Elephas maximus indicus: one gene and its partner. The protein of the gene in region 2 interacts with the protein of the main gene of each other region in a biochemical or structural test. Links are inferred from orthologs where the notes say so. Each region holds a gene or a part of one and is shown on either strand. Other genes may lie near its edges.

Region 1 (8,184 bases), on a different chromosome or scaffold from region 2:
CAAAATTTCAAGTCAATAAAAGCTGGAAACACTATCACAGCAGGATTTCCCGTCAAGGAGGTGTTTGGAATTTGTGTTTTGAGTTTCCCACTATTAAATACATAGCAATAATAGGTTTGCTATAAAAATTTAATATTAAAAAGGGAGATTCAGAAAAAGAAAATACTTTTGTGTATCTAAAAGGCACATCCATACAAAGCAGTGACTGGTTTTGAAGTAGACTTGCCATGGTATAGGTATGGAAGCAGGTACCGCCATGGTAGGGGAGCGGGGGATAGAGCACCTCTATGAGGCAGGAGAACAGAGCCTGTGTCACTGCCTAAAACCAGAAGCTTGTTGTGAATCTCTAACTATACAGCAGGTTTAAAAAGTTGGTGCCTACAGTTCTGGCTGATAGGAAATGTGTGCCCGCGAGGGAAGAGGACACACACACAGCTTCCCAGGCAGTACAGGACACAAGTTGCCCTTTGCTTCAGTTGCTGGGCCTGCAAGATAATAGACTGGAGACTCAGAAACACGAATATAAGACCTGCCCTAGACTGAGAGTCTGAGTGGCCCTAGACTGAGGGTCTGAGTGGCCAAGTGGAGGCATTCACACAAGTGTAGAGAGAGATGGAGAAAGGAGAGGGCACAGAAAGAATGATAAACAAAGAAATCTTTTGTTCTCAACATAAGCTTGCAGGTTAACATTTCAAAACTGATGGAGAAAAGCAAGGATGAGAATAGCAGCCAGCAAAATTAATAATTAGGGACAAATTTACTTCAAACAAATTGGAAATAATACTACAATATATAAATGACCTCAAAATTGAAATGTTTAGGGTCCTCAAAGATAAAGAAGGAATAAAAATCATTTTTAAATGATTTAAAAACTAGATGGATATAAGAACAAATTAGAAATTTGGGGAATGAAATGTTCAATAGCTGGTAGAAACTCTAGAAGGAGACAAAGAGAAAATCAATGAGTTGAAAGAAAGGCAATACACAAAGAAAGAAAAAGATAAAAACATGAAAGGACAACTAAATGTCGAAGATAAATTGAAAGGACAAAACATAAAGAGCTTAAGATCAAAATAGAAGAATTGGTGGCAAAGGACTATTTGAAGAGATAGTGGCTTGGGTTTTAATGTCAGGGAGGGACAGGAGATGAGTTTGTAGGAGAAGTGATAACTGAGATCCCTGCATAAAGCAAGAATTTTGAATATCTTCATCCTCCTTGAGGAATGGCTGGCCTAGGGCACATGGAGAAGAACAGCAAACTCCGAGTTAAAAAAAAAAAAAAACCTTTTTGAGAATTGAAAACCATGGGTCTAGTCAGAAAACAAAACAAAACAAAAAACAATTACGGTACATCCTACAAATACTGGACCAGTACTCCTTAACAGTGTGAAAGTCATCAAAAACAAGGAATTACAAGGCTGTGCATAAGGAACTAGGGCAGCATCACCTGAGCCATCCTGACCAGCAGTGTACCAAGGTGAAGGTTATGGTGGGGGTTGTCTGCCCTGGAGAATTTAAAAACAATTTGAAAAAAATGACTAAAAATCAGCCCGCTTTTTACTATCACCATGCACTGGCAATTCTAAATAAGATCAGTAATAAAATTTTCTTCCCTGCTGCACCAAACTCCTCCACAGTTAACCAGCCCCCCACAACTCCTATGCCACTGACCTTGACTAATACGACTGATAAATGTAAGTAAGGATTGTCTGCTTCAAAAATAAGCACAAGTTTCTTCTTTTAAAAAGGTGAAATAGAGAAGAAACCATTCTTTGATGGTTACGGGGGTGGGGAGGGAGAGAGATATTCGCTAATCAGACGGTAGACAAGAATTATTTTAGGTGAAGGGAAGGACAACACACAATACAGGGTAAGTCAGCACAACTGGACTAAACCCAAAGCTAAGAAGTTTCCTGAATACAACCAAACAATTCGAGGGACAGTACAGGCATAGGGGGTCTGGGGACCATGGTTTCAGGGGACATCTAGGTCAACTGGCATAACAAAGTATATTAAGAAAATGTCCTGCATCCCACCTTGGTGAGTAGCATCTGGGGTCTTAAAAGCTAGCAAGCGGCCATCTAAGATGCATCAATTGGTTTTAAACCACCTAGAGCAAAGGAAAATGAACAACAGCAAAGACAGAAGGAAAATATGAGCCCAAGAGACAGAAAGGGCCACATAAGCCAGAGACTCCATCAGCCTGAGACTGGAAGAACTAGAGGGTGCCCGGCTTCCACCGATGACTGCCCTGACAGGGAACACGACAGAAAATCCCTGATGGAGCAGAAGAAAAGTGGGATGTAGACCTCGAGTTCCAGTAAAAAGACCAGACTTAATGGTCTAAGACTGGAGGGAGCCCAGAGATCATGGCCCCCAGACTCTCTGTTAGCCAAAAACTAGAACATTCCCAAAGCCAGCTCTTTAGACAAAGATTAGGCTGGACTATAAGACATAAAATGATACCGGTGAGGGGTGTGCTTCTTAGCTCAAGTAGACACATGAGACTATGTGGGCAGTTTCTGTCTGGAGGCGAGGAGAGGCGGCAGAGGGGACAGGAGCTGGCTGAATGGGCACAGGAAATACAGAGTAGAGAGGAGTTGTCACATTGCAGGGAAAGCAACTAGGGCCATATAACAATGTGTGTGTATGAGAAACTGACTTGGATGGTAAACTTCTACTTAAAGCACAATAAAAAAAGAAAAAAAGGTGAAATAAAAGTTTTAAATAACAATTACAAGGATGAAGAAGGAGCATTCAGTGAGTTAGGTGTGTCAAGGTCCTTGTCTTGCACGAGAGGAGGGTAACCTGTAATGGGAAAACCCACGCTGGAGGGTAAAAGCTCTAATGTGATATTCTAGTTATGTTTGCTGATTTGGTTTAATGTATTTTGCTGATCATTTATACTCTTAACCTAGCTTTAAAGAAATGGGCCTGTTTTTCTTGCCTTTCTTAGAACTTTCTATTGTCCCTCATCATCTAGTCACAGAGGGACCTAAAAAAATGTTGCAGTTTAGGTACCTGGTCGCTATGAGTCGGAATCAACTTGACAGCAATGGGTTTTGATTTGGTTTTACATTATTATGTTGCTATAGATTTTGTAGTTTGCCTTGATGACCTGATAGTCAGGCCCTTAAAAAAAAGACTGTCATTTTCCCACACTGAATCTTAATGCTGTTTTAAATATCAATTCTTAGCTCAATTTCTTGAGGGAAGGGGAGGAGTGAAGGCTTCCCTGGACATCACTGCTATCAGTCTCCTACACACAGCCGAGATAGTTCAGAAGACGTCTTGGGATGGAAAATTACTTTCTTTTGCTTTGTTTTATGGGGTAGAGGAGGCAGAGTGCATGATTCAGTTATGTTTTTGCACATAGGACATTTCTAGCTTTAGGAAAACTCACTACCCCAAAATCTCAATTTTTAAAACAAGTTAACTAGGTAGCAGTTACACACAAAGATGCCTTGATTTACAAAAAGCATCACCAGAGGTTTTCTTTCAAATAGCTCTCTGCTCCTTTACTTTACTTTTCCCGTTACGTTTCAGAAAGCTACTTATAAATTCCAGGAGTTTTTTACTTCATAGAAGCCTTGGAGGCGCAGTGGTTAAGCACTTGGCTGCTAACTGAAGGTTGGCAGTTTAGCATTTCAAACCCACCAGCTGCTCCGTGGGAGAAAGATGTGGTAATCTGCTTCTGTAAAGGTTTACAGCCCCGGAAACCCTATACAGCAGTTCCACTCTGTCCTATAGGGTCACTGTGCGTCAGAATCCACTCAACCGCAATGAGTTTAGTTTTGGTTTGGGTATCTACTTCACAAGGAGCCCTGGTGGTGGTGCTGTGGTTAAGCGCTCAGCTGCTACCGAAAAGTGGACCACGGTTCAAACCTACTAGCGGCTCTGTGGGAGAAAGAAGTGAGTCTGCACCCATAAAGGTTACAGCCTTGGAAACCCTATGGGGCAGTTCTGCTCTGTCCTATAGGGTCACAATGAGTTGGACTTGACTCAGCAACAACAGCTTCTGGTTTACGAACCTGAAGGTTGGCAGTTCAAACCCACCCACTGGTGCCTCAAAAAAAAAGGCCTGGCAATCTGCTTGCAAAATCCTATGGAGTCCTACTCTGTAACATGCGTCAGAATCCACTCAGTGGCAACGACTTCAACTACTTCATAAAGCAGAGGTGGTTTTAAAAGAGTAATAACTCTGATTATAAAACTCATTTCAGGAAAATTGGGAAATACAAATATTTTAAAAATAAAAAAACATTCTGTAATTCCAGGGTTAACAGGTTACCACTCTGGTATGTTTCATTGCAATATTTTAAAAAATTACGTATATATTAGGTTTGTGTATTAAAACAACAAAAAAACCAAACCCATTGCCATGGAGTCGATGCTGACAGCGATCCTACAGAATAGAGTAGAACTGCCCCCATAGGGTTTCCTGGGAGCGGCTGGTGGATTCGAATTGCTTACCTTTTGGTTAGCAGCCAGGCTCTTAACCACTGCACCACCAGGACTCCTGTGTATTTTTAAAGCCTGTGGTTTTAACCCCTAAGGTTACAGATCGCAAGTCATGGCCCTCCCAAGTGCCAACACCTCACCCTGAGAAGTGTGTCAGCTGTCAACAGGTACTGTTTATCTTTCTGCCCGGTGGAACCGGCTGCCAAGTTACAAGAGACACTCTAGAGACACTCCTTCCTTTCTTTTCTCGGTTCCACTCCCTAAACTTTCTTTTCAGCCCAGACAGTCTCTTGGACAACCACCTAGCTCCAGCCCTCTCTGTCTGCTCCCAAACAAAAAATTCCCTAAAAGTAGCAGTCACTGCTGAGAGGGAGGCGGCGGACTCTCCTTTAGAAAAGAAGAGGCGGATGAACACAGCTGAGAGGCACAGACGTTCGACCGCTTCTGCGCGCGCTCCCACGTGGGCGCGGCCCCGCTCCTGTCCTCCCCGCCCTCCGCGAGCGCGCCAGTGGCGAACGCGCGCCCGCCCCACTCCGGCGGAGAGGCGCCGGGGAAAGCGCGCGGCCGCGAGTTACGGGCGCCATTTTGGACTCAGTGTCTGGACGGAAGCGCCGGGAAGCTACGCGGTGGCCGCAGCTCGCTGAGGGTGTCTCTTGCGGTGACAAGGGGTCCTGGGAGAAAAACGTAGGCGGCGTGAGGCTGAGAAGGAAGACTTCTCCCTGGGCAGCCAGAGCCGCGAAGGTGGAGCCGCGTTGGCGCTCGCTGCGGGACCAGCGCCTCGGATGCGGGCGGAGCGCGGGGGGCCGCGGCGACGGGAGCGCGAAGCCGGGGGCCTTGGGGGCCTCATGTGAGAGCCGCGGGACCAGCCGCCGCCGCCGTCCCCGGAGCCCGGGGTGGTGTGTGGGCGAAGCCGCCCACGGCAGCAGGTAACGGCGGATGGGCAGGACCGGAGCGCCGTAGCAAAGGCGGGTCAGTGGAGGGTCCACCGGCCATTTCTGGGCAGAGGAACGGGCGGAGGGGCGCGGGGTCCCTGACACGCGCGGACCGCCCCTCGGGAGGCCGGGCGGCGCCCAGACATTGGAGCCTGTTTGGGGGCGTTTCCCTCCGGTGCTGTCTTCAAAACATGTCAACAAGGCGTGGTGCGTGTGCGGCGGCCGCGTGCAGCCCGCCCCGCGACGCTGCCGCGCCCTGGGCTCGCCTCGGCTGTCGCCCGGCTTTACTACCCGCACCAGGGTTTGGTGACAGGCACCGTGGAGCTCGCTTTCTGCGGAGCTCTTCCCGGCGACGGCTACGCCGGGTTTGTAACTTGAGAAATTAGAAGTATTAAAACGTCAAAACAAACTGCCAGGGTAGAGCGCACGAGCTCTGTCCAATCCGTGGAGGTGGCGCAGGGCGGAGGGGAGGCGGCGACGCCCGCGCCGCGTAGCGGAGTGGAAAACTTGGTCAACTTGAGATGAGCAGCTTCGCGCCTACTTTTGGCGTGAGCAGCCTTTTTTAGGCTGCAGTTACAATGATCAGGCAGAGCAGCCCGCTAAATGATTGGTGTCAATCTCCCTGCCAGAAGTTGTCGTCCAATAATTAGAATCTTTTTTTGTAACTTGAATGTTAAGTAGTTTCTGCAATCGGTGAGATATTTCTAAAAATGCCACCAATTCCGAGGTATGTACGTATGACCATGAGACATTTTTCACCACGTTCTCCCTGCCATCCAATTCTGAGAGTTCAACTCTTACCACTCTTCTTTTCTTGTATTCCAGCTCAAGAAGGCATTTTGAAATTAGTCAAAGCAGAACATAAGTGGAAAGGAAATATGCCGAAACAGGCTCTTTTAGTTTTCCAGAGCTAAATACAAACGAACTTTTAAAATTATTACATGCCCAGGGTAGGTAAGGAGCTCTGGTGTTTCAGTAGTTATGCATGCCGCCGCTAACATCAGCCACACTCCTTGGAAACCCTATGGGGCAATTATGTTCTGTTGTATACCCAAAAACCCACTGCGGTCTAGTCGATTCCTACTCGTAGCAGTCTGTCGTTTAGGGTGGCTATAAGTCGGAATCAACTCGGTAACAGTGGGTTTGGTTTGGCTTAGTTTATGTACAAGGAGCCCTGGTGGTGCAATGGTTAAGTGTTTGGCTGCTCAGTTCCAGCCCTGTCCCAGTTGTGGGAGAAAGACCAGGCAATCTGCTTCCATAAAGATTACAGTCAAGAAAACCCTGTGGGGCAGTTCCCTGTGACATAGGGTTGTCGTATGTTTAAAATTGACTTGACAGCACCTAACAGTGGTTAGGAGCTTTGCTGCTAACCAAAAGGTTGGTTGTTTGAATCCACCAGCCACTCCATGGAAACCTTATGGGGTTGTCCTATGGGTTTGCTGTGAGTCAGAATCAACTCGATGGCACATAACAACAACAAACGTATGTAAAAGTGCCTGAAACGAGGGTGCACAGCCAGGGTTCTCTTCTGCTCTTCATCTGTTTGATGGTCAACTTGACTGCCCTTTCCAGAGTTACATGGAAATGTTGAGTTGGCTCAGTGACTTCCTGTGTTGGCTGCTATAGTTTTTCTTCATTAGGTTGCTTTTTGTCCCTTCATAGTCTCTCACCAAAAGCTGCAGTGGCCTAAATTGCGTTAATTATTCGGGACTTGGAAAAGTTGCAGTTGGAAATTAAATTGCCAAGGCTCTGCAGAGGCCTGGGTTTCATTGACGTTTATTTTCCAGCTCATCCGCTCCACGCCTCTTCAAATATAAAAGGCGTTTTAAGTAGGAGATAAATAAGTCCATTGACGTAAGTCATTTGCAGACTGGTGGATGTATAAATAGATATAATAAACTGCTTTTGAAAGCACTGTAAATTTTTGCATGAATAGATGAAGTCAACCTGGAAAAAACAACATTTAGAAGTTTTATTATGGGTCCACTCCCTTCTCTTATTTTTATGCATGTGAAGATAATAACCAAAAAACCTGTTGCTGTCGAGTGGGTGCCAACTCGTAGTGACCCTATAGGATGGAGTAGAACTGCCTCGTACGGTTTCCAAGGAGCGGCTGGTGGGTTTGAACTGTGGGCTTTTTTTTTTTGGTTAGCAACCAAGCTCTTAACCACTGTACCACCAGGGCTCCCTGAAGATAATACAGAGAACGTTTTTATCTGCATTTGGCCTTATATTTGTAGATGCTCTTTTTTTGATAGGTTTATATACTAATGTACTAATAAATTATGACACTACGGTTCTATTACATGAAAATTTAGATATTTGTTCAGCTATTCATAAACTAATAAATGCTTAAAATATACTTTTGTGATCATATAATCTTTTTATATCTCAGCTGAGAGAAATACAATTATCCCAGTATTGCATACTTTTTAATATTTTTCAGGTTTTTATCCCCTTCTCAACTTGGAAAAGTATTAAAATATACGTTGTTTAGAACAGGGCTGTAATAGACAAAGTAAGTACTTGTTGTTAGGACCAGCAAAGTGTTAACAGAGAAAATTGTGTGAATAAGGCGGTTGTTTTATTTCTGTTTATATGTCTAAGGTAAAATGGATACAGGCAGTTCTGGGTTACTAGCATCCTGACTTAGGGACAACTCTTTAATGTTATATAAATTTGTCCTCACTTTGCAGTGATTGAACCAACCCCTAACTATAAACCAAAATCAAACCCACTGCCGTCGAGTCGATTCGGACTCATAGCGACCCTATAGGACGGAGTAGAACTG
Region 2 (7,150 bases):
CGTTCATGGCTATCTTAATTTGATTTCATCCACAGAAAAATGGTAGGTAGGAGTTAGTGCAGGAAGCAAAAGAAATCACAGATTCTGATTCCCCCTTCTCTTGCAAATGGTTCTGGGCCCCCCATTCCTAGGGAGGTTCCTTAGATGCAGCAATTCAAGCAGTTGCAGTGCTAAGACATTATGCTACAGCACAATTCTCCCAGACCACTCCCAGATCCCAAAACAGCCACCGGAAGATTACACACATTGTAGTTATGCGGAGGTAGGGCTCCACCACTTCCCCTCACCCCCAACTGGTGCACAAACCCCTCCGCAGCTCTGCCGCTCCCTCACTCCCATGAGGAGCAAATAGTCTGGTGGGGGTGGTATGAGTGTCTCTTCCCAGGCCCCAGAAGCAGTTACCATATTCCATCTGTTTTGTGTTATTTCACCTCTTTCTTCTGAATGCCAAAACGAATCAGACTTCCTGCCAGCACACTGCAACACATTTCCCAGGTTGTCTGGCTTGGGTCTGTGGTTCTCTAGTTCTTTCTCAAGCTTTGCTGCACGGGAGAGCTTTAAAGCCCTGATCCCAGATCGTACCCCAAAACAATGAAATCAGGATCTCAGTGGTAGGGGATGGGGAACCCAGGCATCTTTTAAAGGTCCTTAGGTGATTCCAATGTGCAGCTGCGACTGAGAACCACTGCTCTTGCTCAGCCCGGTTCATTTTCTTCATGGCACTTAGTTCTACTGAATTATGGTTGTTTACTTGTCTTCCTCCCCTAAAATGTAGCTCCAGGAGCCCTGGAGGCACAGACACCACATCAGCTTGTCCACAGCTGTACCCCTACCAGCACCTAGAGCAGGGCCTGGCAGATAGTAAACCAAACCTGTTGCTGTCGAGTTGATTCCAACTAATAGCGACCCTATAGGACAGAGTAGAACTGCCCAGTAGGGTTTCCAAAGACTGCCTGGTGGATTCCAACTGCCAACCTTATGGTTACCAGCTGCACCTCTTAACCACTACCCACCAGGGTCTCCTGGCAGACATCAGGCACCCGCTAAATAATTGCTCAATTAACATCTACATTCTTGCAAGGTCCGGACTTTAGGATTTGACTCAGGCATCTGGCCTGCCACATTCCTTTTCTCCTTCACTCGCGACAGCACAATCACAAGAGAGTGACCCAGAAAAATTTATCCTGAGTTTAATCAGCAGCATAACATTCGTTGTTGATTTTTAACCACCCCCCATTACCACAGCAAAGGAGGCAGTCCTCTACAAGGTCCCTTGAAACTGAATAAAAGAAACTTCTTTGTGACAATGTAACAGTAAACAGATTCCACTGACTCTGCTCTGACTGGCACGCTGCCACAGGAGGGGGCAAAGTCTGAGGCTTGGTTTATTGTCTACACTAGAGATGGTCATTTGAGGATGTTTGTCAAACCCAGCCTCCTATCTATAGAAACTGGAGCAAAGGCAGCACAATAGGGCAGACTGGAAACTGTGTGGGCAGGCTCTCCACAGGACTATCTTTAGTAGTTCCCTCTAGAAAAATGGGGCAGGAGCGGGCATTTAATAGACCCCCTTTACAAAGCGCTCACTCTCCTAGCAGGGCATACACCTTGGAGATAAAAAAAAAAAACAAAAACATGGTGTGCTGAGAGCCGCTGTATCCTGGGAATACCCCTGCCCATTGATGCAACAAGGCATAAGCAAACATCCCCCAGAACAATGCAAACAAACCAAGCAGGTGCAGTACGGCATTTTGAAAAGTGCTGGGTACATAATGTTTCCAAACTCCTTGGTCCTGAACACTGGTTATGGAGAAAAAACATCAGCTACCTATCTGCTAATTCCTTCCCATGTCCCTGTCAACTCCATCTCCCAGGAGTCATCAAAGAGAGGTCTCCGATACCATAGCTTTCCTGCTCCCTTGCCTTGGTGTGTCAGTTCATAAAAGCCTATCTATAAGGGCTCAACTGCCCTCTAAAATCATCTTACAGGAGAGAAGGAAGCGGGCGATACCTTGTTTGGTTGCTTTTTTTTCCTAGCAAGCTCATAGCTGCTAACAGAATTCTCCAAAATGGGTTAAGTACTACTACTCTACAATTGGGGACACACAGTGCCTCTAACTGAAGATGCCCTTGGGGGAGATGGCACCTGCCTTACCTAATGCTAAGCCAGGGTCTCTAGACACCTCCAGAAGCAGGGCCTTCTGGGTGGAGGGGAAGTCAGGATGGAGTAAAACAAACCAAGGGTGACCTTCAGGAGCTCAGCAATGGGCTCTTTACTTGAAGTAATGGGAGTATCTGCTCTGCCCCAGGATCAGAAACCCGTCCCCGCCCTCACGCCACAATATCTCCTTTTCCTCCCCTCCCTGGGCACACCCCTAAGAGACACCTGGAGTCCCGGTTCTGCCACTGGCTGGCTGCATGATCTTGGGCAGGTCAACTTTGTGCCTCTAGGGCTCAAGGGCGTCATCTGTACAATGGGGATCACACCACAGGGATGGTGTGAGGCTCAAAGGGGATAAAACACGGTGCGAAAGCCCCTTCTTAGAGGTTGAGTCCTCGCCCACCTAAGGGATTAGCGTGATGACTAACTAACCCCCTGGTGCCAACTTCTCGCCTCTGGAGACCCCGCTCCGTCTCCCTGCCGCGCCTCCCTCAGGCCCGGGTCTTCGGGCCGTGGGTGGGGGACAGAGGCTCCCCCTTTGGAAGGGCCCGGGGTCAGCCGGCGCCTCCCGGGCCTGCGACCCCGCCCGGGCCCTCTCACCTCCATCGGTTGATCCCGACCGAAGAGGAGGCCGCGAACCAAGGGTCGAGGATGTAAACGCAGCGTACGCAGCGCGCCCCGCGCACAGCCGCCAGCAGCGCCGGGTTGTCGTGGAGTCGCAGCCCCTTGCGGAACCAGTGCACAGAGGAGGCGCCATCCATGCTGGGAATGGGCACCAGGGCCGCCGCTCCCGCCGTCACCACTGCCGCCGCCATCACCGCCTAGATTGCTCTGGCCGGCGGCGCTCCGCCCCCGACAGCGCCGCGGGCCCCACCTCCAGCCCGCCCAGTGACCTATGACGCCTCCGCGGCTTGCCGTAGCTCGGCCCCTGGGGCTCTGGAGCGCCTCTGTCATTGGCCGAGCGCCTCCCTCCGGGCGATTGGCTCAGCGGCGCGAGATGAGGGCCCGCCCCCTCACGTTCCCACCATGTGTCTGCCGCCTGGGAGGAGCCCGCGGTCATGGCTGCTGACGCAGGCGGGCGTTCCCAGTGGAGGCCAGGGCGTAGGCCGGGCCTCAAGGGACAGAGGATCTCTTCCAGGCGTTCTAGTCGGAGCCTGTCGCTAGAAGAAGATGCCTGGGCTGGCGGGCGTTGTTATGACTCCAGCCAACAGCACTGGGCATATTTAGGATATAGCACCTACCCTGGGTGCCACTTGGGGGAGGGTGGGGCGCCAATGAGCAGTTTCCATGTAGTTTCCATCTTCAGCTTTGAGAGATCATTCAGCAAGTTAAATCTAATTGTCATAGGTATTATTTTCCCATAGATACGCAGCTGCTCTGTTCCCCACTCTATTAAGTCATCTACGTCATTCTACTAAAGCTACCATTTATGGAGTGCATCTCCTATACAAGCAACGTGATCTTCTTACATAGACTTTCTACTTTACTACTTTCATTCAGCCAGTTCTGTTCATTCAACCAAGGAGCTGTTACCCTAATTTTACAGATGAGGAAAACAGAGGCTGCTCCAGGTTGACTGACTAGCTCAAGATCATAAAACAAATAAAAGAACTCTATCCAGATTATTTGGGAACCCTGGTGGTGTAGTGTTAAGAGCTACCTCTGCTAGATGAAAGACTGGCGGTTGGAATGCACCTTGCGCTCCTTGGAAACCTTATGGGGCAGTTCTACTCCAACCTATAGAGGGCTATGAGTCGGAGTCAATTCAAGGGCGATGGGTTTGGTTTTTTGTTTTTTTCCCCAGATTGTTCTCATTTTGAAGCCTCTGCTTTTATCCACAAAGCTGTGCTTCTCTCTGTGCTGAGCTCCTTGGCATTTGCAAGAGAAAAAGTCTGGAATGGAGGAGGCGTGCCCTGATAATGCAGCAGTGGAGTGTTTGGGAGTAGGGAGTGGGAATGTGCAGGATGTGGGTTGAGATAGTAATTATGCCGTCAGATGAATTGATTTTCTTTTAGTTCTATATTTAGTAGACCTGATGGTACTATTAAATGCAAAGCATTGTTCTGGATTCTGTGTGGGATTTAGAGATGTGGAGGACACTGTCCCCACTCCTCTGGGAAGCCAGATGGGTCCTCTTACTCTTCTGAAGTCCAGCATAGGCTCGCTGATGAGCTAGCTGACTGGCAAGAGAAGCATATAAACACTCACAACGAAGTACTGAAGGTGGACTAAGATGGCCTAGTCAGGCTGTAGCTCTGGGGTTACCTGGTGGAGAACAGCCTTCTTCAGTCTCACGCTAGGTTGCACCTATGCTCACAACTCTTCCTGAACTTGGGAATGGGCGATGAAGGAACTCAAGTCAGCAATTTAGTGGCATTAACTGGCACTGCTCTAGAAACCAGTGTTCTTGAAATCGTGGGCTCTCTCTCATTTCCAGGGCTCTGCACAAGCTGTTCCCTCCACCTGAATTCCACTCCCCACCCCACACCCTTTCTAACTCCAGTTTATCCTGTGTCACTGCTCAGTATAGATGTCATCTTGGGTGTCTTGCATACTGCCCCATTTCACTCTGCCCTTCTTCTTATCACTGCCCCTAGTACATGGTACTGGAATTGCTTGCTTAATTGTCTGCCCCATTAGACTATAAGCTCCTGAAAGATAGGGGTTGTGGCTTTACAAATGTATTTCCAGGGTCTATCCCAGTGCTTGGTATTTGATTCTCAAGGATTATTTGAGTAAAAGTTGAACAAGGACAAGAGTCTCAGGTTGTCAGGGACCTTAAAGGTCTATTCTAGTCCCCCTCACCTGACTCTGCCCTTATTTTTGAGTCTTCTCTCCAAATGCTTGCTGAATGAGTAGATGCCACCTCTTGTTACTTTTCTTTTCAGGCTTTGTGTTCCCACCTCTTTTGTGCCCCTCTTCTCTCCACAAGGTTGATGCTCTTCTAGGAATAGAATAGAGAAAGCAGGAAATGGTTCTTCCCCAAGTAGCCTCAAATATGAGTACTCTCTTCCTCCTCTGAACTCCCATAATGCTTTATCTGTAGACTGTAAACTCCGTGAGGGCAGGGACTGTGCTTGTCTTGCTCATCGGTGTATTCCCAGCACCTATCCTGGTGCTTGACATGTAGTAGGTGCTCAGTGAATATTTGTTGAATGACTGAATGCCGTTTATCCCTTTCTATCTTATTAGGCTATTTTGAGAGGCAGTATGATGTAGTGGTCTCAGGCACAAGGTCTCAGGCATTGGAGTGATTAAGTTCAAAATCTCATTCTGCTTTAACTGTGTGTGACCTTGGGTAAGCTAGTTAACCTCTCTGTTCCTCACTTTCTTAATGCATACAATAGGGATGATAATAATTTCTAGGACATAGAAAGCACTTACTAAGCAAGCATCAGCTACTATTATTTTGAATGGCAGGATCTGTGTCTGATTTTGTCTTCCTTGTAACATCTAGCCCAGAGTCTTACGTGTAATGAATGCTTCATAAGTTGCTGAGCGAATAAAAGATTTTACTTACTTTTTTAAAGGGTCGTCAACATTATACCAATAATGGAAACTGAAGAGAAATAATTGCCATCAAGTCCAAAAACCTAACAAATCAATTTTTTCCCCAAGTTTCCTCCTAGGCTCTGTCAATAAGCACCTAAGTTTTATGGCTTTAATCAAAGCAGAGGCACAGTTTTGTAGATTCTTTTTAAACTTAAAGTATTAAGCATATTCTATGTTGCTATGTCTTTGTTATTTCAATGACCATATAATCCTCCATCAAGTTGATAGGAAGACTTTTTTTTAAATTGCATATTGCTTGGGTTTATTACCAGGGTAACGTTCAAAAACCAGGAAGTAAATCCGGCACTGGATAGAATATTGGAATGCAAAGTCCACTCTTGGTCTTTACACTTTGAAACGGACAGGGAGAAATTGGAGTGAGACCAAAGAGATGTGTAAATTGCTTAGGAAGTGAAATGTCATTGGGGGCGAGGCGTATCTAAGCATGGCAGGTATGGCACGTGCCCTGGGTGCCACTTGAGGGGGCATGGCACCAACGAGCGGTTTCTATCACTAGCTGTGACAGCTCATTCAGCAATTTAAAACTAATTGCCATAGACATTATTTTTCGTAGCTACGCCAGGACATCTCATTATTTACAAGCATTTCTGACCAGTGGTTGCTATGAGGATGCCAAACAGTTGCTCCTTGTTGCCAGGAAGGGTAGACCAAAAGAAGAAAGGCTTAAAGTAGGAGAGTAAGAGGTGGTTTTAAAGATGAACCAACTAGCCTGGAAGTGGATGGTGTCTTTCTTCCCTGATGATACTTAAGAAGACAGATCTGTTCACGTTTGTCCCTCTCTGTTAAAGTCCTGCATGGAGACTAGATGAGACAACTTTCATATTCCCTTTGAACCGCGAATTGAGTAAATATTTGATGACTGGTTGAAAGGTAACCAAGCACCGAAAGGAGAGGCATCCCTGACGAGTTTAAGTTACCCGCGCCCTCTAGTGGTGTGACTGGGAACGAAGCCGTGGCCCAGTTTCGGGCTGAGCCAAGAGCACCCCGGCCCTAGACTCCTCTCCTTAGTTACTGGCCTTAAGAGCTTGCAGCTGAGGCATTTCTATTTCCAAGACTTTACGCAAGGCTTACTTTGATGTAGTGACATAAAATGCTCATTGTTTGAACTATGCAGCTTGAGAAGTCGTAAAGCTTATTGAGAGCGTGGACTGTAAGGCCGGAAGGCCTGGATTCCATTCCAACTACCTGATTACTTACTTGGGCAAGTTACTTCACCTCTCTGTTCCTCAATTTCCTCATTTCTGAAATGCGGCTTGGCTTTTCATTCTCTTAATAATGTTTGGGGATGAATAGAAGTTCTTAATTTTAATGTGGTCCAATTTATCCATCTTTCCCTTTATGGTTAGTGCTTCGGTGTCTCGTATAAGAAATCTTTGCCTACTTCCAAGGTCATGAAGATATTCTCCTATATAATCT

Evidence for each region.
Region 1: the proteins of CRY2 (region 2) and FBXL3 form a complex in vitro, tested with the Homo sapiens proteins (2 studies listed by BioGRID, with this or other methods). The link is inferred for Elephas maximus indicus from reciprocal best matches to the Homo sapiens genes CRY2 and FBXL3.

What each region holds. Positions count from the first base shown.
Region 1 is NC_064832.1:70,175,592-70,183,775, reverse strand, and holds the start of FBXL3 (F-box/LRR-repeat protein 3), read left to right. Parts: upstream 1-4,979; 5' UTR 4,980-5,387; exon of another isoform or gene 5,388-5,430; intron 5,431-8,184. UniProt on the Homo sapiens protein: Substrate-recognition component of the SCF(FBXL3) E3 ubiquitin ligase complex involved in circadian rhythm function. Plays a key role in the maintenance of both the speed and the robustness of the circadian clock oscillation.
Region 2 is NC_064825.1:101,319,424-101,326,573, reverse strand, and holds the start of CRY2 (cryptochrome-2), read right to left. Parts: upstream 3,010-7,150; 5' UTR 2,977-3,009; coding exon 2,762-2,976; intron 1-2,761. UniProt on the Homo sapiens protein: Transcriptional repressor which forms a core component of the circadian clock.